Linked DNA regions of Diceros bicornis minor. The protein of the gene in region 4 purifies or fractionates together with the protein of the main gene of each other region. This does not show direct contact. Links are inferred from orthologs where the notes say so. Each region holds a gene or a part of one and is shown on either strand. Other genes may lie near its edges. The genes, in order: POLR3E, POLR2M, POLR2G and GPN3.

Evidence for each region.
Region 1: the proteins of GPN3 (region 4) and POLR3E purify together in Homo sapiens (affinity purification with mass spectrometry; 3 studies listed by BioGRID and IntAct, counting the BioPlex papers as one, with this or other methods). This does not show direct contact. The link is inferred for Diceros bicornis minor from reciprocal best matches to the Homo sapiens genes GPN3 and POLR3E.
Region 2: the proteins of GPN3 (region 4) and POLR2M purify together in Homo sapiens (affinity purification with mass spectrometry; 3 studies listed by BioGRID and IntAct, counting the BioPlex papers as one, with this or other methods). This does not show direct contact. The link is inferred for Diceros bicornis minor from reciprocal best matches to the Homo sapiens genes GPN3 and POLR2M.
Region 3: the proteins of GPN3 (region 4) and POLR2G purify together in Homo sapiens (affinity purification with mass spectrometry; 3 studies listed by BioGRID and IntAct, counting the BioPlex papers as one, with this or other methods). This does not show direct contact. The link is inferred for Diceros bicornis minor from reciprocal best matches to the Homo sapiens genes GPN3 and POLR2G.

The regions. Positions count from the first base shown.
Region 1 is NC_080765.1:31,056,471-31,064,330, forward strand, and holds the start of POLR3E (DNA-directed RNA polymerase III subunit RPC5), read left to right. Parts: upstream 1-4,680; 5' UTR 4,681-5,414; coding exon 5,415-5,484; intron 5,485-7,860. UniProt on the Homo sapiens protein: DNA-dependent RNA polymerase catalyzes the transcription of DNA into RNA using the four ribonucleoside triphosphates as substrates.
Region 2 is NC_080744.1:52,976,361-52,984,385, reverse strand, and holds the start of POLR2M (protein GRINL1A), read right to left. Parts: upstream 3,175-8,025; 5' UTR 3,063-3,174; coding exon 2,950-3,062; intron 1,186-2,949; coding exon 538-1,185; intron 1-537.
Region 3 is NC_080770.1:10,374,262-10,382,251, forward strand, and holds the start of POLR2G (DNA-directed RNA polymerase II subunit RPB7), read right to left. Parts: upstream 3,088-7,990; 5' UTR 2,991-3,087; coding exon 2,979-2,990; intron 2,846-2,978; coding exon 2,736-2,845; intron 1,842-2,735; coding exon 1,682-1,841; intron 288-1,681; coding exon 237-287; intron 130-236; coding exon 64-129; intron 1-63. UniProt on the Homo sapiens protein: Core component of RNA polymerase II (Pol II), a DNA-dependent RNA polymerase which synthesizes mRNA precursors and many functional non-coding RNAs using the four ribonucleoside triphosphates as substrates.
Region 4 is NC_080774.1:8,983,702-8,991,160, reverse strand, and holds the start of GPN3 (GPN-loop GTPase 3), read left to right. Parts: upstream 1-4,278; 5' UTR 4,279-4,357; coding exon 4,358-4,405; intron 4,406-6,958; coding exon 6,959-7,067; intron 7,068-7,459. Other genes in the region: protein FAM216A, read right to left, coding at 2,117-2,157, 3,516-3,607. UniProt on the Homo sapiens protein: Small GTPase required for proper localization of RNA polymerase II (RNAPII). May act at an RNAP assembly step prior to nuclear import.

The DNA.
Region 1 (7,860 bases), on a different chromosome or scaffold from region 4:
CTAGATCCAGTCAGTATCAGAGACTAATTCCAACAACCTGAAATACAACTGATTCCAACACTTAAAACAGTCAAATTAACAACTCAGAAAGTCACCACGTCTCAGTTCAGATTCTCAAAAGAGAATCTGATTGATCTGACCTGAGTCCTATGTCTACCACAGAGCCCACTGGCCATGGTGTGGGGCAGGAATGCACAGCACGAAGGTGGCTGCCAGGGACCCATTCTCTGGGCTGGTCAAGCAATTCCTAGAAAAGTGGGATTAGGCAGATTCCAGCAATTTTTCTTCACAATGGGGATACTTTCTTTTGGAAAATACTGCACACGACTCACAAACAAATACACTCCCTCCTGGTACTAAAACCCCATGACTAGATCAATGCTTCTATTGATCTCAAGAACTGTTCCTCATTTAGTTTTGAATCCCCTTCAATGCTTGGTCTGTGTCCTCAATAGATGGCTGCTTCTGTATTTTTAAAAATTTCCTTTAAAAGCAACAAACTCTCCTAGTTCAATGAAATCTTTTCATATTGATACTTTTGTTAAAGGTAAATGGAGGAAAACTTGGTTCAAGAGGAATTGAAGAGAAGAAAAAATATGGAATGCCCAAATGTTAGGGTGTGTCAACTGGATATTAACCAGAAACTTGAATATAACAATTTAACTTAATATAAAGAACTTAAATGTACATATTCATAGCATGGAATAAATTAGATCTATATGTGTCATAATAACCTCAAAAGGAGTAGAAAGGCAAGTTGCAGAATGATATTGATATCATTGATATATTGATAATGATAATGATATTGATACGATGGAGTAATGTTTATATAAGTGAAAAATATATTGAAGACACACACACAAATTCATGTATAGATGTGAAAGTATAAGAGATAGATTGGAAGGATACACATCAAATGCATGATAACAGTTATAGCCAGGGAGGATGTTTGGGAAGGGGGATTTATTTTCATTTGTAATGGTTTAATTATTTTTAAATGGATTTTTAAAAGGACAACATATTCATACCATTACCTGTGTAACTTTTAACAAAACGTATATACGTTAAGAAAAGGATTTGAAGTGAAATGACACAATATTAGGTGGTGGGAATATGGATGATTATTTTTTCTTTGTTTTTCAGTATTTTTAAATATCCATATACATCAACATGGATAGATATTTAAAATATATAGTCGGGTAAAAAATAGTCAATTGCAGATCAATACTAAGCATGATAATATTTATGTAAAAACCCACACCAATAAAAACAAAACCTCTATTTTCTATGGATGCATATACCCATGCCAATATATCCATATAAATTCACAGCAAAAGATCCAGAAGGATATATACCAAGCTGATGATAATGGTTACTTCTATTGAGGGAACTTAGGATGGGGGTCAAAGGTAGAAGAGCATTTGTGCGTTGTCTGCAAAGTTTTAATATTTTGCAAAATTTCACGTATTATTTGTGTAACTAAAAATTAAAACATAGTTTTTCAGAAAAACTGCCGAGACCAGCTCCCCTGGTTTGTCCTTGGGATCCCCTGGTGCGGGTTACTTCCAGAATCCATCATTTCTGGGAAGATACATAACCCCCAGTACAGTGGGTTAACCTGAGGTCTCCGAGGTAAACACCCGACTCAGAATACAGACTCTTCAACTGCTCTTCGCTTTAAAACCTATTTGGAACAAGCCTGGGTCTAAATATTGGAGCAAACATTTTTTAAAAAATACATGGCATGTTCTAAATAGTTCTATCAAGATCAAATAAAACATATTAAACAAAGAAACTCCAGGAAAAAAATGCACTGCAAGCGCATGTAATGCCATTAAATAGACGCCTGGAAGACTGCTTCGTCAGCTAGGTAGCGTGGCCGAGCGGTCTAAGGCGCTGGATTAAGGCTCCAGTCTCTTCGGGGGCGTGGGTTCGAATCCCACCGCTGCCAGTGCTAGCTTCTTTTGTCGCTGTTGCCTTGGCACCCGGCTGTTCTCGGCTCTGTTTTGCCGGTGCATGGGCGCCCCCTGCCGGGCCGGGCTGGCGGGCCCCATGAATGGAGCGGCGGAGGGGGCGGACCGCGAGAGCCGGGGCGGCGCATTGTGGGTAAAAGGAAGCGCGAGGGCCGGCGCGGCTCCCCCCACGTGTCCGCCGGAGTTTCTCCAGCAGCAACATGGCCGCTGCCTGAGAGGAGAGCCGGGCCGCCGCCGCCTCTGCAGCCCGCGGGTACCTGGGCCGTTGCCGCCGCCCGCGCGCGCGGGCCCCGCGGAGAGGTGAGTGCCGAGTTGACAGCCCCCGCCCGGGCTTGAGCCGGGCCGCACTCACGAGGTGGGCCCGGGCTGGGCTGCCGAGTAGGCCGGGAGGCCCGCGCCGCGCCGTGCCCAGGGACTGGGGGCCTCCGGGGCCGGGCGGGAAGGATGGGCAGCCTGCCCCAGTAGACCCCGGCCGGCCGCGGGCTCCGACCTGGGCCCGGCCCGGGAGTCGTGGGGGCCGCAGCGGAGGCTGCCGGCGGTCGTGACTCAGGGTCCAGCCGCCGTGCCCCGCCCGGCCCAGATGGGCCTCCTGCAGGAGCACCTGTCCCAAGGCAGCCGGCGTCCAGCTGGCGTGGAGACTTGTGGCGATGGCTGCGTGGTGGGCGTGAGAAGGGGGCCTGCCCACCCGCGAGGGAGGCGAAACCCATTGGACAATGTGGCTCGGGGCCGGCGGCCCGCCCTGATGGGCAGGTGGAGGGTACCCGAGCCTGCCTGGGCCCCCTCCTCGCCGCTGAACCAGATCAGCCTCCGCCCGGCCGGGCCCGGGATTCCTGATTCATTTAATGAAGTCACCATTCAGTGATCATTGGGAGCCAACACTGCCGCGGATACGACCCTAACCATTTGGTCGGAGGAGGGGTCAGTAAGCACGTCAAGTAAAGCAGTCAATAAACAAGGTCGTTCTGTTATGTTAGCTTTAGAATCGTTGGTCTTGGGGGCAGGAAGAGGAGATCTTAGCAGACGCCACGGTTTCTTCATCTGTGAAATGGGGATAGTAGAATTTCCTACCTCATAGGGTTGTGGTGAGGGCTAAATCGGCTAAGACAGGAGAAGCTCCAGCTTGCAGCATTTGATTTCTGGCTAAATCTCATACCCTCTTAGAGTAAAAGAAAATATGTTGCCAAGTAATAACAAATCCTCCCACAGGTTACATTTATCATCGTGGTTAATCCTCACCACAGTCCTCTGGGGGTCGATACTTTTATTATCCCCTTTTTAGGGATGAAAACAGTGAAGGATAACCAGCATCAGACAGTTCCGAGTGGGCCACAGATGGTGGGTAGCAGACAGGGGATTTGAACCTTTGCAGTTCTGCTCTGGAGTCCAGGCTTTTACCCACTATACCATACTGCCTTTTATTAGGAACATGTGCAGCATAGTGGTTAAGAATGAGAATAAGGATCTTTGACGGCTAGACTGGAGAATCTGGCTTGCCATTCTCTAGCACTGTGACCTTGGGCAAGCTACTTACTCTTTGAACTTTAGTTTCCTCGTTTCTTAATTAGGGATGATAAATCTTGATTTATAGGGCTATTGAGAAGATTTAATGAGAATGTATGTGAAATCCATAGAGAAGGATCTGACACTCACTTAAGGGTTAATTAGTTCTTCTTGTCCCCTAGGCCAAGTCTTCCTTTAACAGATGTGGAAACTGAGGTGACCCAGCGAGGGGAAATGCCTTGTCCAAGGGGTACACAGCCAATTAGAAGCCAGGCCTTGAGACCATTTGCCCTGGGGACTTCTCCCCTTAACTCCGTTGTATTTTGTCCTCTCAGACCTCCCTCACTCCCTCCAACAGCTGGAGATCCGTTTGGAGTTGCCTCTGCTTTTCTGATTGACTGACAGGTTAGATTCCTGGGGGCAGCATGGATGCACCCAACTGTGGCATCCCCTGCTCTGGACCCCTCCTTAGCTCCACCTGGTGTCCTTGTCTCCTTTCCATTTGTTGAGCAGCTCCCTGTTGAGGGAAGTTTCCTGTGCCTAGGGCCATGGAGCCGCTGCCACAGAGTAGCCTTGTGGCCACAGGACCCCTGTTGAGGCCAAGGTGGTCATTGCTATCAGAAGAGCTTGGCTCATGGTGGCTGGGAGGCCTGCTCTGGCCTGCGCCACAGCCCCTGTCTGTTCTTAAGTGTCCATGTGGCCCAAACTATGAGGCCCCCGGTCTCTGGATGGGGCTGAGTTAGGCTCACTGTGTTGAGGTTCTGTGACCTCCTGATTTTAGACACTCATTCACTCAGTTATTCTTTGCACTATATTGAGTGTCTGCTTCATGCCAGGCACTGTTCTAGGTATGGGAACATAGTGTGAGTTTGAAAAAAAAAGAGATGATAATCCCCATAACAACTTGATGAAGTAAGAGTAGTTATCTCCACTTTATAGTGAGGAAACTGAAGCACCGAGAGACGCTCACAGAGCTTATTTCTAGTGCAGAAGATAGACCACACATAAGCAAACAGACTAGATAGTTTCAGATTGTGATAAGAACCACGAAGGAAATAAAATCAGGAGATGTGGTAGTGATTGGGAAGGGGTTGTGAGTGGGCGGGGGCTCTTTAAGATGGGGTGATCAAGGAATCTGTCTCCTCCTGGAGGGGGTGGTGGTGATAGCTAATGAAAAGGAGCCAGCCTTGAAAAGACCTGGGGAAAATAGATGTTGTGCAAAGGTCCTGAGGCAGGCTGGGGCTTCGCCTGTTGGAGGCCCAGCAAGTGGCCACCTGGCCAAGTGGATGGTGAGGTAAAGCGGGGCAAGATCATGTAGGGCCTTGGGGCCATGGAAGGGAGTTTGGATTTTATTGTATATGACAGTTGAAAGGTTTTGAGCAGGGGCATGATGTGATTTACTTTTTTACAAGAACAACTCTTGGCTGTTTCTGAAAGGATTGGAGGTGGGAGAGGGGCTGCAGAGAGACTTGTGGTGCAGTACCTTTCAAATTGCAGTTTGAGATTTATTAGTGGGATGTGAAATCAGCTTGGGATTGTAACCAGCATTTTTAATTTTAACGAGCAAGAGTAGAAAACGTCGCTGCATCACATGTAGTAGAGACAGTCATGGCTGTGTGAAACCTTGTTTTAGTTACATAATTGTTGTATGTTCTGGGTTGCTTATGTGAAATGGACTTCTTGCTGTGGGTCTTAGGCTGAAAACTTTGGAAGCCACTGAGTTGGCTGATATTGGGTGGGAGGATGAAGCGAGGTGTTAACCCCTGCCTTAACCCAATCAGATGTACTATCCAGAGGGAGGGGCTCCAGCTCAAGGTACCTCATCCTCCCTGAGCGCCTCCGTGACTGGGAGAGGCCAGCAGAGCACAAGAGCCGGAATGCCTGTCTCTGGGAGAATAGTTGCATCTTGGGAACCTCCCAGGCCGCACCCTCTTAGTACATATGATCTGTTCCCTGGCTCACCTGGAAGGCCCCAGTCTCTCAGTTGTGCACAGAGCCAGCCGTAGAGAAGGTAGGTGCTTGACGTACATCTGTGGTCTTGGCAGGCAGTGCAGAAGGGGTGGGGTCTTGGGCTCTCCCATCCGTCACCTTCTGTCTGGGGCTTAGAAGCCACCTAAAACTGTCCATTTGGGGCTTCTAATTTCACCCAGTCTTCCATCTCCTTACTGTCGCTGTGGCCTGCTTCCCTCTAGTCTGTCTTTTTATCCCCTCCAGATTTTCCTCTACTCAGAATCCTTTGGTAGCTCCCTATTAAATAGCATTCCTGTGATTCATATTTTCAGACAACAAATATGTGGTGAGTGCCTGCTGTGTGCTAGGCACTGGGGGTACAGCAAGGGACCAAATAGATGCTAATCTCTGCCTTCCTGTAGGCACTTCCAACTTAGTGGCAGTGGGGCTGGGGACAGATAATAAACACAGAGCTATAAACGGTCACATGGTGATAGGTGCTATGGAGAAAGCCAGAGCAGGGAAGGGAGTTGGTGGGGCGGGGTGCAGTTTTGAGTTAGTTGGACAGGGAAGGTCTTAGCCATGAGGTGACATTTGAGCAAAAACCGGGAAGAGATGGGCCGGCCCCGTGGCTTAGCGGTTAAGTGCGCGCACACTCTGCTGCTGGTGGCCGGGGTTCGGATCCCGGGCGCGTACCAATGCACCGCTTCTCCGGCCATGCTGAGGCCGCATCCCACATACAGCAACTAGAAGGATGTGCAGCTGTGACATACAAGTATGTACTAGGGCTTTGGGGGGAAAAATAAATAAATAAATAAAATTATTAAAAAAAAAACAAAAAAAAACCAGAAAGAGGAGGAGGGATCCTGAGGTGACCGGAGGGTAGACCAGTTACAGAGGCCCAGAGGTGGGGTGGGAGGGGGGAGGAGAGAAGAGGGAAGGAGGCCCGTGGGAGATGAGGTCTGAGAGGTAAAGGGGCTGGGGTGGGGGTGGGTCGTAAAGACTTTGGCTTTTATTCAGAGTGTGATGGGAGGGAGGCCTTTGAAGATGGAGGAGTGACGTGATCTGAGGTGGCTTTCCAAAGGATCACTGGCTGTGGGGTTGAGCCAAGATCGTAGGGGGCAAGGGTGGAAGCAGGGAGACCAGTTAGGAGGCTGTTGCTGTAATGCAGGTAAGATATGGAGCTGGCTGGTCTGGGGCGGTGGTGGTGAGGGGGCCAGATTCCAGACATCCTCTGAAGAGAGAACTGACGGGATTTGCTGGTGTGGGATGAGAGGAGGAGAAGCATCAAGGATGAGGCCAGCATTTCAGCCTGAGCAGTGTGAGTTTGGAACGTGTATCTGGAGTAAGTGAGGTGATTTCAGGTGGTGGTGCACGGGCAGGGGGCTTAGATGACATTGAATGCCACCCATGGTGAAGGAATATTTAAATATTAAATAGCTCAAATGTTAAGTAGATAAGATAAAAGTCATGATGGTCTTACTCGAAAGTAGAGGTCTGGGGACTGCTGAGATATTAGGGTGCCCAGGCGCCTTTCTAAGGAAGGGTCAGCCCAGCTGAATTAGTTCCCCTCCGCCATGGAGACCTGCAGCCTTCCCTCCTCCAGGTACTTGAGTGCTTCCTGTCACCTGAAATCCCTCCTCCCCTCTGCTCTCGTGGCTTGTCCTAACCCTTCAAGGCCCAGCCCAAACGCCCCGCCTGACCCCTTCCCTTCCCTCTTCTGAACTCCCCTACCTGTACCTGCTGCCTGAAGTCGGATGGCCTGGCTTTGAAGTCCAGCGGGTCCTCTTACTTGCTGTGTGGCTTTGGGTAGGACACGTAAAGTGCCTGCGAGTTCCAGTCTCCTCATTATAAAGTGGGGACAATCAAGCCACTCACAGGGTTGTGTGGGACACATTAGAGAAAAGTATGTAAAGAGGGTCATTTTCAGACACACACACACACGTGCGCATACACGTGCACACACGCACACACACACGCACGCACACACACACGCACACACGTGCACACACGCACACACACACACAGAGGAGAAGCATCTCACTCTGGGTTGGGCTTCAGGTCAGCTTGAAAATCAAATACCAGAGACAGAGACAGCCTGGAAAGCCGTGGGACCATCTGCTCGTCCTCTTGGACGCGGGAGTCTTTAAAGCTTCCCCATGGCCCCCAGTTAGTTCTCAAGCGTTTTCATTGTGGCTGTGGACCCGCCAGCCTCCTTCCTGCCTGGCGGTGAATTCTTCTTTGTGAGTGGTCAGAAAACACTTAAAACCAGTCATTTATTCTTTCCCCCAGGTGCAGCTGATGTGGTGACTTGAGTCCACCTGTTTGTACCCATTGCTTGGTTGTTTCTCTCTCTCTTTTTTTTTTGCCCATGGGGTATATGGTGGGCTGACTTTTTGACTCCACGATAGATGTAGAAATAAGATGAATTTCTGTT
Region 2 (8,025 bases), on a different chromosome or scaffold from region 4:
AGTTCCCTTCCCCCTGAAGTTGTTATTATATAATTTAAGGTCCTTCTAAGTGTGTATGCCTTGGGTCCTCATCCAGATCCCAAACTCATTAAGGAGCAGAATCTTTACTTCTGTGTCACCACAGCACCTGCTGCTTACAGAAAGTGAGCACGCAAATATCTTTTGCTGAGAAAGGCCATCAGCTCCTGTGATTGCTTTTCCCTTAGCCTACAGTCTAATCAAAGGGGGGAGCTGTATACCAGAAAATGGTTCCGGGGAAAAAAGCATAATAAATTCTCTAACTCTGTGTTTATTATGAAATATTGCCTAAGCATCCCGAAATTTAATACTCCATCTGCTATTTAAAATCTTTTCAACTATTTGGCTAAAAAAGCTTAAGTATTTTTCAACATAAATCCTCTGGTCTGTTTACAATATGTTCATTCCTAACCACAAGTAGTTCTCACGCACAAGTCCACTGAACTGAAAGCATTCTTCCAATTTTTGAGTTTAACAAATACTATGTTGCCATGACAGCCTGTTTCCGATGGTACTTACACATTGGTTTTAAATTTATGTGGTGGGGGCACTGGGTTTTTGGCTCGCATTTCGAGCACTTCCAAGTAATGAGGCTTCTTCTGAGTCCCACTACAAAGGCCTGTCAAGTTCTCAGTACTGGTGTTTTCTTCAGAGTGGTGTTCACCTGGGTCTGCAATTGTGATCCTTTGTAACCTATCAATAAACAGGTTGTCAGAGCTGCTAGAATGATCTTCTGCTTGACTTGAAACACGATGCTGAGGGAGACGCTCGCTAGCTTTGGATGAGGAAGGCGCGCTGTCTCTGCTGCTGGAAGCTGGGCACTTGTTCACTGCGTACTCAACCTCTGGAGCCTCTGCATCACCTCTGTGAGTAGGATATACAAGTCCCTGTTGTTGTGAGGTTGTTCTAGATGACTTGATGTTATCTACAGAGGAACAGCCAGGAACTAGTGATGAAGTATCAAGGATCTGGTCAGAGTTCTGGGCCTTATCCGTGTCCACGTCCACACCTGCGACTGCTTTTTGCCTTAGCTTATGGTCTAAACTAACAGGATGAAACAGTTCACTCTTCCCTCTAACTTCTTCACGTTCTGCAAGGGCAGCTTTCAGTTTGGCAACAGAGTCTATTATCTTTTTACCTTTGTCGGGCAATTTGCAAATGAATTTTCTGTCAAATGGAAAAGAACATGTATACATTAGAGCCATGGTTTTAAACGTGAGATATAAAGACAAAGCATTATCATCAAAAGGACCAAAATTGACCTTTAAGTCAAAAATCTGATTTCCAACTGCCCCAAAACAGGAATGAAATAAGACAGTCACTATCCAAATACCTCAAAAAAACAAGGACATGCAGGAAGAATGGGGAATATGCCTCACTTGTCTCATCTAATTAAAATTTCAGCAAAAGTATTTTAAGCATATAAGAACCATATAAAACATTACAAAAATCAGTAGTTTTTAAAGTGTGATCTCCAAGACCTTCCTAGGGAGGGGAGGTGGATGAGTCTGCAGGGTCAAAATTATTTTCGTAATAGTACTAAGACACCATTTGCCATTTCCCTCTCATTTTCTCACATGGGTACAGTGGAGCTTCCCAGAAGCCACATGATATGTGAGGATATCACTGCTCTGATGGCTAATGGAATGTGTGTGCTTTTGTATTCTTGTGTTTTAAAAGTTTCTCACTTGTAATTTCTAACACATTGATAAATATCAGTATATATAACACATAAAACCACAGCTCTTTGGGATGCTCAACAATTCTTAAGTGCACAAAGGGGTCCTGGGACCAAAAAGTTAATTCACTGCTAAAGATTAAAAACTCATTCTCACAAAGTCAAAAAACTTGTCTCTACTAGGAAGAACCCAAGTGATTGTTCGTCCCTTTTGCTGAATGACAGAAGTTACTTTTCAAATTCCCTTGTCTTTAGCTAAACAATAAATGGGGAGGGAAGTTACATCTCAGGCCCTCTATTCTTTCTCTGGCACTATATTCGTTCTCACAATTTCAACTAGTAACATCTCTCTCCAGTTGCGATTCCTGTATTTTCCCAACCTTCTCCTCTCTCTCTTGAGCCTCATGACCACTTCTGCAGCTTTTAACCAGGTAACTAGTTAACTCAGCATGCCTTAAGTAAAATCAACCTGGGAAGTAGTCCTCTCCACGTTTTTCTTGTTTTTATTAATGGTTTTCCATACAGGCTGGAAACTTCAACCCTCTCTGTCAACTACATATTCAAATTATTCCACGCCTAATGTAGTTTTTCCAATCCCTCAACTACCTTTCTAGTTCGCCTTCTTACAACCCCCTCGTTGGGAACTTTTCTGAAGATATCCTCCTACTGTCTTCTGCCTCTTATTCCTTCCAACCATCCTGCACCAAGCTGCTAAATTTAGCTTCCTAAAAAAAAATTACTTCCATTATATAGTTCCCCTGCTAAAATCCGTTAAGTCTCCCAGCTGAATGAGAGTCAAACTTTCTCTGCCTAATAAACCACTCTTTATATCCCACTCTTTCCATTTCCTACGGTTCCTGTACAAATAGGATCGAACGATGCAACTGAGATGATGTTTGGGACACGATGGGGGAGGGGGAGAAAAGGACGTAGTACACAGAGCCTTCCTTCGAGGAACAGACACGGCAGCTGAGTAAAGAAAACCAACGCGGAGCTAGCGGAGAGCAGAAAGGCCAAGCCGCCGTTCAGCACAGGAGCCACCCCCAAGGGCGGGACGCGCCGGCCGGGACGCGCCGGCCGGGACGCGGTCGGCTCTGCGGCTGTAGGCCGGCCACTCGCCAGCCGGATGGGACGAATCTGACTGAGGCAAGGTCACCTTCCAGAGAAGGCACGGGGGGAGGGAAGGGAGGGACGCGTCCCGGGGAGCCCGAACCGAAGGAGCCTGGCAGTGACTGGGCGGGAGCCAAGCTTACTCGTTGCGCAAAAGTCTCTCCTGGCGCTTCAACATCTCCCGCAGCTCCGCCAAACTCCGCTGCCCCAAGTCCTCGGGAGCTTGGGGCTCGAAGCCGCGGGGCAGCGAGGACATTCTGCGGGGGCTGCGCCTGGCGAGGCGGCGGGCACGCGGCTTCCTCGGCAGCCCCAGCTGCTAGCGCCGGATCCGCGGCCGGCGGGGACTCCGGGGCACGAGCGGGAGCCGCCATTTTCCCGGAAGAACAAGTCGTCTTCGAGCCGAATCGAGCTTTATTGAAACGCCGGAAACAGACACAGACTAGGAGAAGGGGGCACCCGGAGGGGCGGGAAGGGGCGGAAGTGACGGGGTGACGTCACGCCCCGGCTGGGCTCGCTTTTGCGGTGCAGGTTGTTTCCATGTGCGTCCAGTCTCCGTGTGTGTATTCAAAAAGTATTTACTGAGTGCCACCGTGACCTCGGCAGGTAGCCACGGCCCTTGCCGCTAGACAGGCTACCGAGTGGTGGAGGAGGCAGACGTTAATCAAGTAAGAAGAAAACAGTGTAATAGTAAGATTGGGGTGGGCACCAGGGATGGTATCTCTGAGAAGTGAAATATAAGTGAAATCTGAGTGATGAGTTAGCTAGCTGTTGGTGAGGTTGGGGCGGAGTGCAGGACAGGGTTTGAGGGGCCCTGGCCTATGCTATGGCACCTCCTAGCCCAAGACTTAGTGAAGTCCTCAAATGTTAACGTTGGAAGGATCCTTGGGACCATTGGCGTTTCTTAATGGGGCTCTATGGCATTTGAAGCGGGACTTTTCTTCATCTATGGCACTGCCTCAGGCATTGAAAGACAGTTGGTGTCTGGCTTCTGCCCACTAGTTGCTACTGCCACAGTCACTGTAACAACCCCAAACGGCTCTCCTGACCCCTACACACACGTTTCCCAAGGCCCATGAGAGGTGAAGGGGGTGGAAATAGCTGTCCAAGCCAGCTGAGAATCACTTTCACAATTCCCTATTTTGCCTATAGAGAAACAGAGGCACAAAAACTGAAGTAAGTATTCCCAGGACCCCAAACAAGTCAGTGACACATCAGATTTCAAACTCAAATGTCCAGCTGCTCGTTCCACCACACCACTTTGGAAATTTCCTCCTTCTTCATTTTATGCCTATTTCCAAATGTATAATATTGTTGAAAAGTTTCTTTCCAGCTGTTGAGAAGAGGAAGGAAGTGTCATAAGCATCACAGCCAGCTCTTACCTTCTCTTTACAGTTCAGCTAACAGAGCCATGTCCCAAAAGATTGAGTAGGAAGCATGCACGAGTTGCAACAGATATCGATTGGGAAGTTTGAACACCCCCATAAACTCCAACTCCCCATTCTTTGATATGGAAAATTTAAATTTTCTAATCCTATGTCAAGTGCTATAATAAACACAAGCAATTCCCTCCCAATCAGACAGAAGCTCTAGATAAAAGCAGAAGCTACTCCAGGGAGCACAGTTGAAGTCATTTCTATATCCTCCCAATCTAGTCCATTCTAATCAGATTAATGTATCAAAATTCTCAACATAAGCCCAGCTTTCAAGGACTTCAATACCTGCTCCAGCCCTGGCTAAAGAAGAAATACTTGAGTAAGGCCTTTGAGTCAGGTAGTTGTCCCGCTGGCAAGCTCCCCCAAAGGCTCCCTCATCCTGTCTCTGGCCGCAGCTGGAGGCCTTTATTCCCCCACAGTAGTCATCCCCATCTTCTAAGATCCTGGGCCACAGGTGTCCTCAAGGCGAGGATGCCTTTCTCTCAAGCCTCAGAATTTTGCCCCTGGCTGTTGTCCTCTTGTGGAAGGCTGTCCCTTTCCCCCCACCCCATTATAAATCTTGGCTCAAGTCTCACCTCCGCCCTGAGCCTTCTTAGATTTTTCCAACCCAAATTGCTCTTTCTTTTGAGCATAACTGTAGTGCTTACAGTCAGAACCTCACTATGAACCTGACAATATGAAACATATAATGCTTCTCTCATTGTGTTATGCATGGTGATTTCTTTTTCCTTTCTAACAAAATTTTAAAGTCAGGGAATTCTGTCAGAGAGCTGGGTTTGTACTTTTCTGTCTCCCCCTAATGCACATAACGGGTACGAATTGACAGGATCTCCCTCTCATAATTTTTTTACTCCATATTCCTCTTTCTCTTAATGAAAGTCCTTTTTGTGTATACAAACCTTAAGCTTTTTCTGTAAGTATTAACCATAATTACTGTGAAGATATTTTCAGTGGTATGGGATAGAATCTTTTACACAACATAGCTTAGGACTCAAGATGTCATAATACAAATCTGAGTTCCTAACCACAGCTATGCACAAACTGTCTAGCTCTCTTTTCAGTAACCAAGCAGGCTAGTTGTGCTTCAAAATGAAAATAGGCAACATATTCTTTTATAATCTGTCAAACAAACAAAGATGAGTATTTAGAACGCAAACTTTAACAGCAATTTCTGGGGAAAAAGGATATAAAATGGAGAGATTTCACAAGCAGAGAAATGTTTACCTGTTTCCAGCCAAACTGGGCAAAACACTTGAAAAGAAATGGACCCACAAACCACAGGCAGCTAATCTCCGCTGAAGAATTCCAATTGTATGTCAAAGAGCCCTTCTGTTACAAAATTGAATCTAGACAAGTGTTTTTGGGTTTTGTTTTTCAATACTCATTAAAAAACTCTAAATCATGTTTTCCTATGATACTTGGATTAATCACCTGAGTGTTAATTGCCCTCAGAGTAAACTAATGAACTTGGCTGTTACAAAGAAAGAAAAATTCACAACGAAGAATTAAAGGAAAGGAAAATTTCATCAGCATATGAAGTGATGCCTGGATGACTTAGCCATCCCATTTCCACCAACCTGCCCAAGGACAGTGTTTGAATGTGATTTAAAGATGACAAAATCAAACAGAAAAACCCGGGAAAGATTTCCATTTGTCCTTACAGAGTTGAATATAACAATTGCCAATCAATTGTAAAATTGTAACATTAATCTTCAGAGTCTGCAGGCTGCTCTTCTCTGTTTTCTCCCAATGATTGTCAGTTTGGGGGCGTGAACGGCCACAAAACTGGTCACAATTTACCTGGAGTACACCAAAATGGCAGCAAAAATATTTCCCGTCCCACATGTTCTTAGTATGTGAATTTAACACTCCTCCTCTCAAGAAATGGAGTTGATGTTCCCTATCCTTAATCTGGGCATGCTTATGACTAGAGCAAAAGTGATTTTTCCAGTCTGCATGGTAAAAGATGATGCAGCTTCTGCCTAATTTTCCTGAGGTGCTTACTCTTGGAACCCAACCAGCAAGCCGTGCAGAAACCTGAGTTTGCTTAGGTGTTTCGGCTGTCAGTCCAAGCTGAGGTCTCAGCCTAACGGCAGCATCAGCCACCAGACGTGTGAATGAACGAACCTTTGGATGATTCCAGCCCCCAACTGTCAAGTCACTACCAGCCTTCCAGACTTCCATGTTGGAGCCCCAGAAACTCTGGAGCAGAGACATCCTCACTAGGCTCTTTCTGAATTCCTGATCTACAGAATTTGGGGCCATAATAAAATGGTCATTATTTCATACTTTTAAGTTTGGAGTGGTTTGTTAAACAGCAATAGTAATGGGGACATTATTCAAGGTTAATCCCTCCATCTATGCTCTGGATCCCATCCATTTTGCCTCCTTGGAGATCTCATTCATTGGTTCATTTAATAAATATTTATTGAGGACCTATCGTGTGTAAGACACTGTTCTAGGCTTTGGAGATATAGTGACGAATGAGACACGTTTCCTGCCACATTGAAACTTTCATTCCATCAGATAGTACTAAAGTGTTACATGGAGAATTAATACAGGTGATGTGATAAGGAGTAATTGGGAGGCCACCTTGATTGATTGGGTGATTGAGGTTGATTTTTCTGAGGATGTAACTTATAAGCTGAGACCTGAATGTCAAGAAGCAATTAGCCATAGGAAAATCTGATGGAAAAGTATCCCAAGTAGAGGGAAGAACAAATACTCAGGCTCTAAAAGGAGAAAGAGCTCCTCAAATAACAACAGTTAAAAAGGCTGGGGCTAGATCTTGCAGGGCTTTGTAGACCAAGATATGGAGTTTGAATTTTATTCCAAGAGAAATGGGAAGCCATCTGTGGTAGGCAGCCTCTAGGATGGCCTCCAATGGTCCCCCTAGTGAGAAGTCCCCCTCCAACTGAATATGGGCTGGACTTACTGACTCACTTGTAACAAACAGAATATGGTAAAAGTAATACCAATGGCAGAAGTGATGGGGTGTCACTTCCAAGATTAGGTTATAAAAGATTGGAACAGATATTTCACCAAAGAAGATGTATAGATGAAAAATAAGCACATGAAAGGTCACCGATGTTATTAGCCATTAGGAAAATGCAAATTAAAAACACAATGAGATGCTACTACACAACTATCAGAATGTCTGAAATTAGAAAGATTGACTATACCAAGTGTTGGAAAAGATGTGGAACAACTAGAGCTCTTATACACTGCCAATGGCAATGTAAAATAGCACAACCACTTTGGAAAACAGTTTGGTAGTTTCTTAAAACCTATTATATGACCCAGCGATTCCTCTGCTAGGTATTTACCCAAGAGAAATGAAAGCATGTGTCCATACAAAGTCTTGTACATAAATATTCATAGCAGCTTTGTTTGCAATAGCCAAAAACCAGAAACAACTCAATGTCTATCACTGGGTGAATGGATAAACATTAAATTGTAGTATATCCATACAATTGAACACTATGGTATTCATGCAACATGCAACAACTTCACAAATCTCAATTGTACTGAGTGAAAGAAGCTAGGAAAAAAAGAGTATGTATTCTTTTAAATATTCCATTTATATAAAATTCTTAAAAATGCAGACTAATCTATAGTGACCAAAAGCAGATCAGTGATTGCCTAATGATGTGAGGTGGCAGGGAGAGGCTGGGGGGAAGGATTACGAGGGGGCAAGAGGAAACTGCTGGGGGATGGATTACGAGGGGGCAAGAGGAAACTTTTGGGGGTGATGGATATGTTCATTATCTTGGTTGTGGTGATGGT
Region 3 (7,990 bases), on a different chromosome or scaffold from region 4:
CAACAATCTCCCCGAGAGTGGTTCATTCCCTCCTCCCTCACTGACTTCTTCCTACCCACTCACCTCATCCACGGTCTTGTAACATGGTGGGTTGGAGTTAGGATCAAACTCCATCTCTGATGGGATGGACTGAAAGGAAATTGGGACTGGGTCAGCACTTTAAATGGATGCTTCCATAGATGGTCATGCATGGGTGTCTCTCCTCCTTGGCCCCCGCCCAGCTTGCCCAGACTTACATGTCGAGAGATAAAGCAGGACATAGGTCCAATTTCTGTGAAGAGTCCAACCTAGAAGGAAAATAAGTGACCTTGCTTTTTCCTTTGTTCCCTAAAGTCTTCTAAGCTTCCCATCTTTATCTGATTCCTAATGATATTCTTCATGTGTTGAAACCACTCTGAATTGTAGCATTTGTTTTATTTCTCTCTTTTTTCAAGCTTTCATTTTATGTTAAACAAATACAGGGTAGTAGTAAAGAGCTGAGGCCTGGGACTTGTCAGTACAGGATTTGAACAAGTTGGTCACATGACCTTGGCCAGTAGACTTAATTACTCTAAGCTTAAGCCTCTATAAAAAGGGATAAAACGTGGGGCCAGCCCAGTGGCGCAAGCGGTTAAGTGCACGTGTTCCGCTGCGGCAGCCCGGGGTTTGCCAGTTCGGATCCTGGGCATGCACCGACGCACCGCTTGTCAAGCCATGCTGTGGTGGCGTCCCATATAAAGTGGAGGAAGATGGACATGGATGTTAGCCCAGGGCCAGTCTTCCTCAGCAAAAAGAGGAGGATTGGCAGATGTTAGCTGAGGGCTGATCTTCCTCACAAAAAAAAAAAAAAAAAAGGGGATAAAACGGGGGGGACAGCCCGATGCTGTAGTGGTTAAGTTTGCTCGCTCCACTTCGGCAGCCCAGGGTTCACGGGTTTGGATCCTGGGCACGGACCTATGCACAGCTTATCAAGCCATGCTGTGGTGGCATCCCACATATAAAGTAGAAGATGGGCACGGATGTTAGCCCAGGGCCAATCTTCCTCAGCAAAAAGAGGAAGATTGGCAACGGATGTTAGCTCAGGGCTAATCTTCCTCACCAAAAAAAAAAGGGATAAAACCAACTACCTCTGGGGCCAGCCCCGTGGCTCAGCAGTTAAGTGCGCGTGCTCCTCTACTGGCGGCCCGGGTTCAGATCCCGGGCGCACACCGACGCACCACTTCTCCAGCCATGCTGAGGCCGCGTCCCACATACAGCAACTAGAAGGATGTGCAACTATGACATACAACTATCTACTGGGGCTTTGGGGAAAAAAATGGAGGAGGATTGGCAATAGATGTTAGCTCAGAGCCGGTCTTCCTCAGCAAAAAGAGGAGCATTAGCATGGATGTTAGCTCAGGGCTGATCTTCCTCACAAAAAAAAAAAAAAACAACTACCTCACAGAGTCCTTGTGAAGCTTTGCACATTACTTGGCCCACAGTAACTACTCAATCAATGGAGGTTACTGTCGTTATGACTATTAATACTGATTTACATGCCCCTGAGTGAGGCAGGGGGAGATTACCACAGCATTTGACAGGTGAGGAAACTGAAACCCAAAGAAGTGACTTGGCCAAGGACACAGAGTTAGCAAGTGGAGTTGGGACCCATCCCACATCTCCTGAGGGACCACCCCACTGCCTCCCCTGTGTATGGTCTCACCTTGTTGACCTGAGTGACAACAGCATCCACGACCTCCCCTTTAAAGGGCCGGAAAACAATGGCCTTGTACTTCACTGGATAAAGGACAAAGCCTCGTCCTGGCTGGATCACACCAGCACCGATATTGTCGATGGTGGTGACAGCAATTACAAAGCCGTATCTGCAGGGAGGATGAGAAAGAGAAAGGCACTGTGTGTGAAGAGCCTCTAAAACCATCTACAAGAGTCAGTGAGCCTGAGGGTTGAGGGACAGCACAAAAGGGAAGTAGATGGCACTCCTGCCCCCAGAGAGCTTAATGACCAGGAAGAAGACAGGACTCTGACTGGTATCTATAATGCCAAATGCTCCTCTCGTAATTTCACGATCAATGTCCAAGAAGGCTGCAGTCCTTGAGCCAATACACCTCAATCTTTGGGATGCCTCAGAATCACTTGGGAGGAACTTATTAAAATGCAGACTCCCAGGCCTGTCCCCAGAAAGTCTTGATTCTGTAGGGGTGAGATGAGGCTCAAGAACCAGCATGTTCAAGGAACACCCCAGGTTATTCTGATGATGGAGGCCCAAGTACTCCATAGCCCTGGGCTCACTGCAGCTCATTCACAACACCGTGTGAGAGGCACCTCTTGTGCAGAGGCCAGAGATGTGCCATGCCAGGTCCCGGGGCATGGGGGACAGAGAAAGCTAGCAGAATCACAGAGGGAGAGCAGACACAGGATCAGTCATTAGACTGTGAGCTCCATGAGGGCTAGCCTCATTCTGTCTTGTTCACTGCATTGTTCCCAGGGCCCAACACAGGACCTGGCACGCAACAGGAGCTTTAAAAATGCGGAATAAATGAATGACCAATTTCAACTGAGGGAAGTTAAGTCTTATGATCCAGCTTTGCAGAGGGCGTATGGGAACCCAAAGAAGAAAGCAACTGACTGCCTGGGGCGCCTGGGAGGGTGAGAGGGTTCCCCAGAGTAGGTGGCAGGCCCCTGCAGGATGAGCAGGAGTTGGGGCATAGGGCGCCGTGTGCGCATCGATCAGGCGGCACGGAGGGCGCGGCACTCACTTGCCGGTGCAGGTCCCTTCCACCTCGGTGAAGAGCTTCTGCTTCACTGTGTTGAGCAAGTTGGGGCCGAAGTAGCGCGGGTGCAGCAGGATCTCGTGCTCCAAGGAGATCTGCGGGGGAAGTGGGATGGAGACCAGGCCAAGCGCGGCAGGGATATGGGGCAAAAAGCGGCCCCTTACCCCGGCGCCCCGCCTCCCTCCTCCCCTCGACTCTGCCCTCGCCGCCACCCCGCGCCCTGCTCACGTGGTAGAACATCTTCCCAGATGAGGCGGGAGACCAGCAGAGTCTAGACCTGCCGCGGCAGCAGCGCCTCCAGATCAACCGCAAACACACGCAGCAGCCGTAACCCCACTTCCGGTCCTGCCCCAGCGAAGTGGGCGGGACTCTGCCCCCTCCGCGGACCCAATTGGGCCTCGTTGTCGTGGGAGGGGAATCCATGAGGCCCCGCCCCTCGCCCCGCCCACCAGCAAAGAGCCCCACGCGCATAAATTAACAATGCTTGAACTAGAATAGAGGTTCAATACATACTTTTAAACAGAATTAATTGATTAATGAAAGCTGGCATAAGTAAAGCGCTTTAGTAAAGTGCATTCATTCAGCAAATATTTGAAGACTGCCTTCACGTAGTAAGCATAGCGAGTAGCTGTTCTTCTCTCATTGAATCCATACAGCAACCCTGTGAGGCGGGCTTTATTGTTATTCCCATTTCCAAAGGAGGTCGCACGCTCAGAGGGTTGAGGTCACTCAGGGCCGGGATTCAAATTCAGTATGTCTGACTCCTAGACTCTTGCATATTCAGGCATTCTAGATATTATTCATGCTCTCATTTGTTCAACAAATGTTTATTTAGCACCCACTCCTTGCCAGGAGCCGGTAGTTTGGCGATAAAGCAGCCAAAGTCAGACCCCAGAGGGCAGCGCTCCCTCCCAGTGTGAGAACTATGTCGCTATGCTCCTCCTCATCCCCAGCCCCCTGCCTCACACCCACACACACACCCACACCCACACGGGACCTAGAGAACCTGTCAGCCCTTGTTTGTTCCTTCAACTCTGCCTACATTTTTGTAGATGGTCCCTTATTAAATTTACCTCAGATAACCAGAGTCAGCGTGCAATATGTTCCCCGCGGAGACTCTGACTTATAAAAGGGCCATGCAGAGAGAGGCAGAAACGCCATGAGACAGACCTATGAGAGAGGCTCAGCAAGAGCATCTGGTTCTAGAGTCAGGGCAGTCTATGCAGCCTTGAGCAAACTCCTTGTTGCCTGAGTAAGTTTTTGTATCTTGGAAGTAAAAGAGCCTGACCTACCCTCCTGCAAGAACAGAGGCCAGTTCCCATTGATGCTGCCCATCTCCTAGAATGGTTGAGGCCGCCAGTCAGCTGCTCAGACTCCACGGGGATCCCTTCTGCCCATGATCAGGCAAGGAAGCAGATGAGTGGGCCTCCATACCCCTGACTCCCTCCTCTCTTTTTCAGGCCAGGCTCCCTGCAAGGGCAACCTTACCTGCTGACAGTGGTGTGCTGGAGCTGACTGTGTAACCATGGGCCCTCTAGGACCAGTTCAAACTGACCCCATCTTATCAACAGAAGGTTTTTCAGGGGCAAGCAAAAAATTTGCAAAGTCACATAGCCCAGAGGAGAAAATCTTGACCTGAAACCCAGGAACCAAAGGACCAGGACACGACCGGAACTCAAAAGTTAGACTCTTATCAGAAGCAAGGTGTCCGTTGTCTAGGAAGATCTCGTGTTAAAGCCCCTTCCACACCTTACCATAAATGTTTAAAGCCCTTCAGTCAAAACCTGCCCTGCCAGCATTTCCACATACCAGCCTGTTCTCCCTAACCTCTTAAATTTCACCCCAAATCCTGAATCAGGGAGACAGATCTAAGAGCTTATGCCTTCTGTCTCCTCACAGATTGATCTCGCAATAAAGCCTTTTCTTTTCTCAAAAGCTGATGCTGTAATAATTGGCTCTTTATGTGCATCGAGCAAGAGAACCCCAATTTTGTGGAGTAACAACTACAAGAGCCAATTGTTAATATTTCACGAATTTTGCAAGCCAGTGGTTAAACATGTTACTGGTACATTGGGTTCTTGTTGTCCCCCAGGATGGAAATCAAGAGAGACAACGAGCAGGAGTAGGAAAGTAAAAGTTTATTAGCTTGTGCATAAGAGAGGCACAAGGGAACTGGTACAGAAAGGAAAGGGGCAGGCAACTGGCTCGTTAGGGAGCAGGATTGTGGGGCTTTTATTAGGCAAAGGCTGGGGAGGAATCCCTTGTCATGGCATGTAGAGGTGGGGTTGTGCTTGTGCCTGTGCTGTCTCGTAGCATGCTGCTACATGTGACGCATGTATCATTAGTGTGCTAGCTCTCCACCCCTGGGTGTGATTTTTACTATGCTAATGGAGCTAGGCACCTTCAGTGGACTCCTGGGTGCTAGGGTGCAGACATAAACCCAGGAAAGTCCGGAGGCTGCGGAATGTGGATCTTGTTGGCCTCTATCTGATTCTCTTAGCTTGCCAATTGGTTAGGGGCCTTATCTTCTTAGGCCAGGGGCTTTGCAGATGGCCCTGTCTCACTAGGCTGGTTCCTGTCTCAAACACAGCCATTATTAAAAATTTAATTATTTTAACTTACAATGAAATGAATTATATTAAAAAACAAAGAAAGAGGTATAAACGAAACAAGTTTGGCAATATATTGATAATTGTTGAAGCCAGATGACAGATAATGGTGGTTTATTATACTTTTCCATCTACTTTTGTGTGTTTGAAATTGTTCATAATAAAAAGCTAGGAAAAAACAAAGGTAATTGTGATATTGTGATTTATAATAAGAAACATATATTTGGTCTTCGTCTCTGTTCTTAGCACAGAGCTCCTAAAACACTTAAAATTTCCTAAGAGATGTGGAAATTAATGAAAGAAACCTTAACTAAATTGTACTCAGGAAGGCCTGTAGGGGGAGGTCTCATGCCCTATCACACATGATCAATTACACCAAACAGGAAAAGATGGACAGGAAGTAAAACTACTTTACTACTGATGGAAGATTTCTCTCCCTACCAGGGAACAGCCCAGCCAATGTGAAATGCCACAGCTCAGCCAATGAGAAGCTGTTGCTGCCCTGAACTGTCACTTTGCCCCAGTGGGCTTTCCTTTAGAACAGCCCCTTCCTACTCGCCTTTTCCTCTATAAAGGCTGCTCCTCTTCTTTGTGGGATTTGCCTATGGTTTGCCATAGCATGCACTTCCCAAATTGCAATTCTTTTTTTTTTTTTGGTGAGGAAGATCAGCCCTGAGCTAACATCCGTGCTAATCCTCCTCTTTTTGCTGAGGAAGACCGGCTCTGAGCTAACATCTATTGGCAATCCTCCTCCTTTATTTTCCCCAAAGCCCCAGTAGATAGTTGTATGTCATAGTTGCACATCCTTCTAGTTGCTGTATGTGGGACTCTGCCTCAGCATGGCAGGAGAAGCGGTGCGTTGGTGCACACCCGGGATCCGAACCCGGGCCGCCAGTAGCGGAGCGCATGCACTTAACCGCTAAGCCACGGGGCCGGCCCCCCGAATTGCAATTCTTTTAACTATTCCCAAATAAATTCGTTTTGAGGCTTTTCCAGTCAACAGTGATAAGAACAATAAAGATGTCTTGATAGCCATAATGATACCCCTTTCTTTTTCTTTTTTCTTTTTTTTTTGGTGAGAAAGGTTGGCCCTAAGCTAACATCCATTGCCAATCTTCCTCTTTTTGCTTGAGGAAGATTGGCCCTGAGCTAAGATCTGTGCCAATCTTCCTCTATTTTGTATATGGGACTCCGCCACGGCATGGTTTTATGAGCGTGCCTGCAATCTGAACCCGCAGGTGGCAATCTGAACCCGCAGGTGGTGGAAGCGGAGTGCCAGAACTTAACCACTTCGCCACCAGGCTGGCCCCACTAACCCCTTTCAACCACACCTGAGGTTATGTTAATGAGGTGACTTTTGGAAAGAACCTTAGGATGGGGACTGGTTGCCAGGAGAACCAATAGTGTGTGATTGGAGGGTTGGAACTTTCAGTCTCACCCCCGACCTCCAGGGAGGAGAGAGGGTCCAGAGGTTGAATCAATGGCCAATGGCCAGTGATTTAATCCATATGCCTGCATAATGAAGTTTCCATAAAAACCCAAAAGAGTGTGGTTCGGAGAACTTCCAGGTTGGTGAGCACGTGGAAATTTGGGGGGAGCGTCATTCTCAGAGAGCATAGAAGCTCCGCGCCCTTTCCCCATACCCTTGCCTCTCTTCCATCTGGCTGTTCCTGAGTTGTATCCTTTAATAAGCCAGTAACTAATCCAGTAAGTAAAATGCTTCAATGAGCCGCTCTAGCAAATTAATTGAACCTAAAGAGGGGGTCGTTGCCAGTGGGTCAGAAGCACAAGTGACAACCTGGACTTGTAATTGGCATCTAAGGGAGGGGGCAGTCTTGTAGGACTGAGCCCTTACCCTGTGGAATCTGACGCTATCTCCAGGTAGACGGTGTCAGAATTGAGTTAAATTGTAGGACACTCAGCTGGTGTCCAAGAATTGCTTGGATGTGTGGGGAAAAAATCCATACGTTGTAATTGAAGTCAGACGCATTAGTAATAAATACTCAAAACTCATCACTTCCTAATTATTTTACCACCATTTACTATAATCAATCCTCTTGAGGTTATTTACATCTATTGTGTCTGTGTGGTGTAAATATTATCTAATTGTATATGTAGGTATGAAAGTTGCAGTTGCTCTGATATCCTCAGCAGCCCTTGGTATTGTCATAGGGTTTTTTTGTTTGTTTTGTTTTGTTAGCTATTCTAATAGCTGTGTAGTAGTATCTCATTGTGGTTTTAATTTTTCATTTCCCTAAAGACTGATGATGTTGAACATCTTTTCATGTGCTTCTTTGCCAAGAGTGATCTTTTCAAAACTCAAGTCAAATCATGTCACTTTCCTACTTAGAACCCAATGGCTTCCCAAGGCCCTAGAATAAAGTCATCACCCTGGCCTACCAGGCAGGGGACAGATCCAGCCAATTCCATTTTCCACCTCTCTTCCTCTTGCTTTCTCCATTCTAGCCGTATTGGCCTCCTCTCCCACCTTGGGACCTATGCACTTGCTATTTCCTCCGCCTAAAATGCTCTTGGCTCTGATTCTCACCTGATAGGCTCCTTCTCATCCTTCAGGTATAAGCTCAATTTCAACCCCTCAGAGAGGCCTTCCATGACTGCCCTGGCTCAAGT
Region 4 (7,459 bases):
CACACCAACGCCCCTCTTGGCAAGCCATGCTGTGGCAGCGTCCCATATAAAGTGGAGGAAGATGGGCACAGATGTTAGCCCAGGGCCAGTCTTCCTCAGCAAAAAAAAAAAAAAAAAAAAAAAGGAGGATTGGCAGATGTTAGCACAGGGCTGATATTCCTCACAAAAAATAAAAATAAAAAAAATAAAACTTGAGACATATTCCCAGAAGAATGGAAACTAGTTTTCAGTTTCAGACATATTGAGACCACTAACTTAATTTAGGGTATAAAATTCACTAGCAGTTTGGGGAAAAACAATATCTGGCAAAATTTAATCGGGAAATAACTCTTTGTACACTCCTCTCCACACACCTACTCTTTCCAGGCAACTACTAATGTGCTTTCTATCACTATAGATTAGTTTTCATTTTCTTGAGTTTGATATAAAGGGAAACATACAGTATATATTCTGTTTTTGTCTGGCTTCTTTCACTCAACATAATTATTTTGAAATCCATTCTTGTGATATGTAACAATAGTTCATTCCTTTTTATTGTTGGGTTGTATTCCATTGCATGTATGTATAAACCACAATTTGATGATCCATCCACCTCTTGATGGACATTTGGGTTGTTTCCAGTTTTAGGCTATTACAAATAAAGCTGGCAGAATAGATTTTCAGTTAAAAGTTTGTACCTAGTAAACTCAATTAAATAAACACAGTTTCGTTTCAATATTATTGATAACAAAGGCCACTATAATCTTACATATTAAACTTTAAATTTAGTGATTTCTTCGAGATTTCGGCAATGGTTAGTGCAGATAAGTAAGACATATTTGCATACTCAAGATTTTGGATGGTTAGTGCAGATAAGTAAGAGTTATATTTGCGTACTGAAGGACTAGTTTGCCAACAAATAGAAAATCATCTGGAAATTATGTTATTATGACCCTTAAAACATAATTTGGAATCGGTAATAATGAATACCATTTCAACATTATAAAAGTTTATTTTTTAAAATCCTTTTTAAGTGATAAATGTGGGTTAATTATCTAAGAATATAGCTTTTGTGTCCTTGCTAATCAGTATTTCTGAGATGTATATTATAGCCTAGACTAAAATTTAATTCCACAAAAGCTTGATAGCATTTCTTTACAGAAAATGAAACATTTAAAAATAATAGTTAAACTCAACAACAAACAACCCAATTGAAAAATGGGCAAAGGACTTGAATAGACTTGGATGTCTCCAAAGAAATACAAACAGCCAATGAGCACATGAAAAGACACTCACTATGGCTAATCAGCAGGAAAATGCAAATCAAAATCACAATGAGATACCACTTCATACCTATAAGGATGACTCTCATCAAAAAAACAGAAAACTAGTGTTGGCTAGGATATGGGGAAATTGGAACCCTGTGCATTACTGATGGGAATGTAAAATGGTGCAGCTGCTGTGGAAACAGTATGGCAGTTCCTCAAAAAATTAAACAGAATTGCCATATGATCCAGCAATTCCATTTTAAAATGACCACATTATTTATATATGCATATATATGTATTTTTATATATATGTACATACACTCACATATGTGTGTGTTTTTCCTAGGTAACTGTAAGGACTATAAATTTTCCAAGGAAAAGTAAAGTGAATCCAGGTTTATATATCATTGAATTGAAATTTCTCTCTCCTCCAAAATTAGTGAGAGGCCTTTGAGGGCCTGTCTGACTCTTAACTCCAGCAACTCTATCGTTTATTTCAAGTGAGAGGAAAATAGGAGCACTGAGAAATATTTTATATTCTTTGAAGTTGTTCAGTTTAGATTTTTTCCTTCAATCTGCATATAAACCCCAGGCTGTGCTCTGTGCTTTTCAACCAACATCAGTTATAAACACTGTTCTTTTCAGATTCATTGCTATTTTGAAGTACTCTTTTTAAAATGCTTGATGTGAGATATCTTAACAGGAGAGAAAGAACCTGCTGGATTGTTCTTTGAAAATCTTAAAGAGTAAGTTCACCAAGGATGCTAATAAAGTCTATTTTAAAAACTCCATTGTGTAAGTGGTCATAGCTAAATTGGCTTCTCTGCACCATGTTATTTATAGGTATTTGCTTTATATGCTCTACTCACCAGTACCTTTGGAATTCTGGTAATAAGAATGTCCAGCTGATCTGTTAAAAAAAGGATTAAATAATATGTAATAATTGACAAGTTTATAAGCAGTAAAGAAAGTATTTTAAATGAAAAAAGGCAGTATTTCATATCCTTTTTACTTTTCATGTTTCCATCAGACAGAATGTCTTGCAAATTTTCTCTTTTAATTCTGGTTGTATCCTAGTGGCTCCAGGCTTTTTCAAAGTGAGTTAACTGAGATTTTTACTCTACTAGAAAGGATTGACTTTAAGCCAGATTTGGTCTTACTTTTATAGTCTCCTAATCTAATTCCTATGTTAAGCTCAATAAAGTAGTCTGGGCTTCTGTGCTATCCATGATATTTTTTTTGCTCTCTTTATTTTTAATAAAGTAACTTGGGTATGGAAAAGACTATCTTGTTCTTTATTGCATGTAATTAAAGTGTACTGGAACTGATAAGTTGGTCTGGAATGTCTCTAATTTTGTACAAGTTTTTTTTTTTCTTTTCTCAACTTAAGACAAAACACCCTTCCCTCCCTCTTCTTTCAATTTATTCAATGACCCAAAGTTCATTGATCTCTCGACATACTGGGATCCAGCACTTCACCAAGCACCGTGATGAACAGAAAAGAAACACAAGACCCCATCCCATCTTTAAAAGGTCAATCCGCCAGATACATATCAGCAGGAGCCATGACTGTGGGCTGAATTTAGAGAGGAACACCTGGCAACTCTAGATTTGGGGAATAACTGATGGAAGGGATGAGGAGGTAATGCCTTCAGCAACTAATCGTCTTCAGCATCCAGGAAATAATAGTGGACACCTGCTCAAAATGAAACGGATTTATGAAGGAAGGAATTTCTGTGGGAAGAAAATGTCAAGATCAAGGTGCCTCTAATATTCATAATCACTTGTCTCATTGGCGATTATGAATCCCGTTGACATAAAGGTGGCTAATGTCACATACAGGGAACTGAATTATTGACTTGGAAGCCCTCGGTTGAGCCGGAGGAATCTGTCCCCGTTGTCCCCCTACCCGCCTTTATGCAGAGATCCTGTGGCAAGACGGCAATTTTTCCAGTAGGTTTCGCAGCGCCCCCTCGAGGCAGAAAGACGTACGCAGGCGATTGTCGCAGTCCCTGCATTTAGTCATTGCACCAAACCCTCCTCCTAAGCTTCCCTCAGAAGCCCTTCCCCTAAACAGTGAGTCGGCTTCCATATTTCCCATCCCAGCCACCAAAAAGGTTCTCTCCTCCTCTCACTTCCGTGCACTGGGGAGCCAGCTCCCACTCCCTCCTCTACAGGGGGATCTCGACCCTGGGCTGGTCGCCGTCCTCCCTAACCCCTCAGTCTCACCCGCCGCCGCCACCCACAGTCCTGGCCCCGCAGTCTCACCCGCCGCCGCCACCCACGGTCCTGGCCACTGCGGGCGGCTCTGCGGAAGAGCTGCACTCCGTCCAGTCGGACACCGCACCCTGGCCGGGCATCTCCTCCCGGGTGCCAGGCCCGCGAGCTGTGTGCGGGAGCAGCTTTCCCCTTTCCCCTCCCCCGTCAGCACGCGTGCGTCAGGCCGGGCGATATTGGGGGTGAGAGGCGGATGCCGGATTCGAGCCCCTTCCGATGCGGTCCGGACACTGCCCGAATAGCTTCGGGAGAGCGGGGAGGGCAGATCCACGATCTTGGAGTTAAATTGGGGGAGGGGCGGGGGTTCTTTAGTTGATTGCGCGTTTGCACGTTTGCATCTTTTTGTGGAAGGGACGTGTCACGAGAAGGAAATATACATGCCCTCTAAAACAAGAAGTGACTTCCACCTCAGTATTCCAGACCCTCAGCAAATTTGCAAACCTCGAGTTCCATCATACAGGTCAAACGTCAGTACGCAAACCAAGGTCGAAAGCACCCGGCGCAGGGATGCTAATTGTTGTCGGTTATCCGTTATCACCAAGGCAACCCGGCTCCGCCTGTATCCCAACCGCAGATTTCCGCCAGCTACTTCTGCGCACGCGCAAACACTCCCCCCTCTGCCGGACGGCGCGTTTCACATGGAATTTGGCCTTCGGGACGCGCCGTAATCAGAGGTGTGGCGGAACAGAAGACGCAAAAGGAGCTTGGATTGCGATTGGTTCGCACGTCGTGTTCCCGGAACTCAGTGGGCGCCGCGCGAAGGCTGGAGGGAGCGTGGTGGTCAGACTGTTGGTGCTGTGGGACGGGAGGCGCCGGGAACCCCGGAAGCCGGCATGCCTCGATATGCGCAGCTGGTCATGGGTCCCGCGGGCAGCGGGAAGGTGAGGATTTGGCGGGAGAAGGAGAGAAAAGTCGGAGTTCGCGGGAGGCAAGGAGGTTCGGGTCCTGAGGGAGGGACCGGCGGGTGTGTGTATTGGGGACCCTGAGACCCTGAGCAGGCCGCCTCTGCAGCCTGGGCTTCAGTGTCCTTGTTGTTGTTGTTTTGAAAAGAGACTAATGATAGTTGCTAATATTGTATACTTATGCCCCAGATAGTGCGGTAAACGTCTCATTTATTTCCACAACAACTCAGTGAGATAAGTCTTATTCCCATTTTACAGATAAGGAAAATGAGACATAGAAAAGTTAAGTTCTTTGTCCAAGATCACACAACTAGTAAGGGACGGCTGGAATTTGAATCTGGTTTTATCTATCTCCAGAATCTGGCCCTGTCTCCCTCCCAAGAGGTTCAAGTGGCATCTCGTTAATCACTGTTTCTCAGAGCTTGAGACATGGACTTCTGGTATTTGAGGCGATTTTAGGAGGTACATGGGCCTGACATTAATGAGCATTGAATCATACATTGAGAAAGTTGCTCCCTTTTTAATTTTCTTTCAGTTTGCATTGAGGTGAAATTGTCAGTTTGATGTTAGTGTATCTTTTTTTGTTTTAAGATTTTATTTATTTATTTTTACCCCCCCAAAGCCCCAGTAGATAGTTGTATGTCATAGCTGCACATCCTTCTAGTTGCTGTATGTGGGACCCCGCCTCAGCATGGCCGGAGAAGCGGTGCGTCGGTGCGCGAACCCCGGGCCGCCAGCAGCGGAGCGCGCGCACTTAACCACTAAGCCACGGGGCTCTCCCTTATGTTGGTGTATCTTTAACACTTCTTTAATCCCCAAGTGTTTTCAGAGAGCAGATCTTAGACTCAGCTTTTGACAGGCAATTGTATTTAGCTTGAATGAAAAGAGTTATAAAGTTGTATTTAATTTTATGGTTACCTTCATGTTATGATAAATATAACTGGTTTTCTGTTTATGATAGACATACAGTTTTTTCTTGTAAACAAGTATTAAGGGAATAATATTAGGGACATTCAAATATGGTAGAAATGGTGAACGTATTAGTCAAATAACAGGAGTGTGGGAAACACCCGAGTCTGTGGAGGTGTTGTGTGGCTTAAATCTTTAAATTAACACATCGTTCTGAGGTTTGTCCTCAGTCTGGGTGTAGGAGTTATACATGTGACTATGATATGGCTCTTGCCTACCCAGACCTATAGTCTATCTGGAAATACAGATAAATGACTTGTCAGTTAACATACAGTGTGATGCATGGAGAGGGCCTCCTAGGCAGAGAGAACAGTATGTGTAAAGTCACTGAGGAGAAAGTGTGATAGAGGTTATTTCTATATTCTGGACTGCTTTTTGGACTGATTGTGTTAGGTAAGTATCTTTCTATAAATTTTTGGTGCTTATGATCAGAAATACTCATTGAGCATGTTCTTTGTGCCAAGCACTGTTCTAGGCCGTTGGGGATTGTGTTATTGAATAAAAGACACACACGCAAATCTCTGCCCTTATGGAGTTTATATTCAAACATTAAGTCAGTCGATTATAAATCATATTAAGTCAGTCGATTATAAATCATTATCAAGCATTTATTATGTATCAGGTACTGTGCTAGTTAGTCCCTGGACTTATAAAACTGCGTAAGACACATCCCAGCCTTTATTTTTTTTTTTTTTTAATTTTTATTTATTTTTTCCCCCAAAGCCCCAGTAGATAGTTGTATGTCATAGTTGCACATCCTTCTAGTTGCTGTATGTGGGACGCGGCCCCAGCATGGCCAGAGAAGCGGTGCCTCGGTGCGAGCCCTGGATCCGAACCGTGGGCCGCCAGCAGCGGAGCACGAGCACTTAACCGCTAAGCCACAGGGCCGGCCCGACACATCCCAGCCTTTAAGTAGAGGTTGGGAGAGACAGACAAGTAGCCTAGAGATTTTTAACGTAGTGTGGTAATGACTACATGAGGGATAAAGAATTCTGTAAACCAAAAGTTACAAATTGATAGCCCACCTCCATGCTATTTATTGACGTCAATGTTCTCTCATCATGGAATGCTCTTCCCCTGGTTTGGCAAGCGCATTCCCATCCCTTGGCTCAAATATCGTCTCCTCAGAGAAATCGTCTCTGACCACCCTACCTAAAGCCTTGTTTGGACTGTTCACGTCCTAGTGGAGACACTATGTGTTAGTTGCTGCACTGTGTAACCAGAAATGCTCCCTTTAAATTCCGCTCATTGCACGTTAGAGCAGGAAGGAGTCTTAGTGATCATGGAGGTCATCCTAGTTAGAGATGAGAAAATCGAGGGGCAGAGTGGAGAAGCAGCTTCTCCCAAATTACCCTTGAGTCCAAGCCAGTTCTGCAGCCCAGTCAGGTGTCCTGATTCCCAGCGCAATGCCTTTGCCCTTTTCAGACAGCTTTTTAGTCGATGAACACATAATTTTGGCCTTAGTAGACACTGCCCAGGGGGTGTAGAGAGTCCTTCTGGGGGTGCAGGCAGTAGCACTGCACTGCCTGTTGCTCTGACTCCTCATGCCTTGTGACATTGCAGAGCACCTACTGTGCCACCATGGTCCAGCACTGTGAAGCCCTCAATCGGTCTGTCCAGGTTGTGAACCTAGATCCTGCAGCAGAACACTTCAACTACCCCGTGATGGCTGGTGAGTTCTGAGCAGAGCCTTCCTCCTCCTTCAGGAAAAATAAGGGTCTGGGGACGCAGAGAGTGCTGGCTGCTCAGCACAGAAGCTAAAAATCAATTATTACAGTCTGGTCCCCTGTTTTCATGGTGAACAGCATGAGGCTGGGTATCATTTGGTGACATCCACTCGTGATGATGTATGTGTCAGTATCCTTTCTTGGTCTTTGATGTAAGAATTAAAAGTGAATAGACTCCTCCCTCACCACCCTTCCCTTCTGTGCCTTTCAGGCTTAGTCCTGCTGTGGTGAATTGGGTATACTGCTGATCATACTATTAGTGAGCAGCCTAAGTGCTTTGCTTTTTTAAATTCTTTTAATGTATTCATTCACATGTCTGTCGAACACTTACTTTATG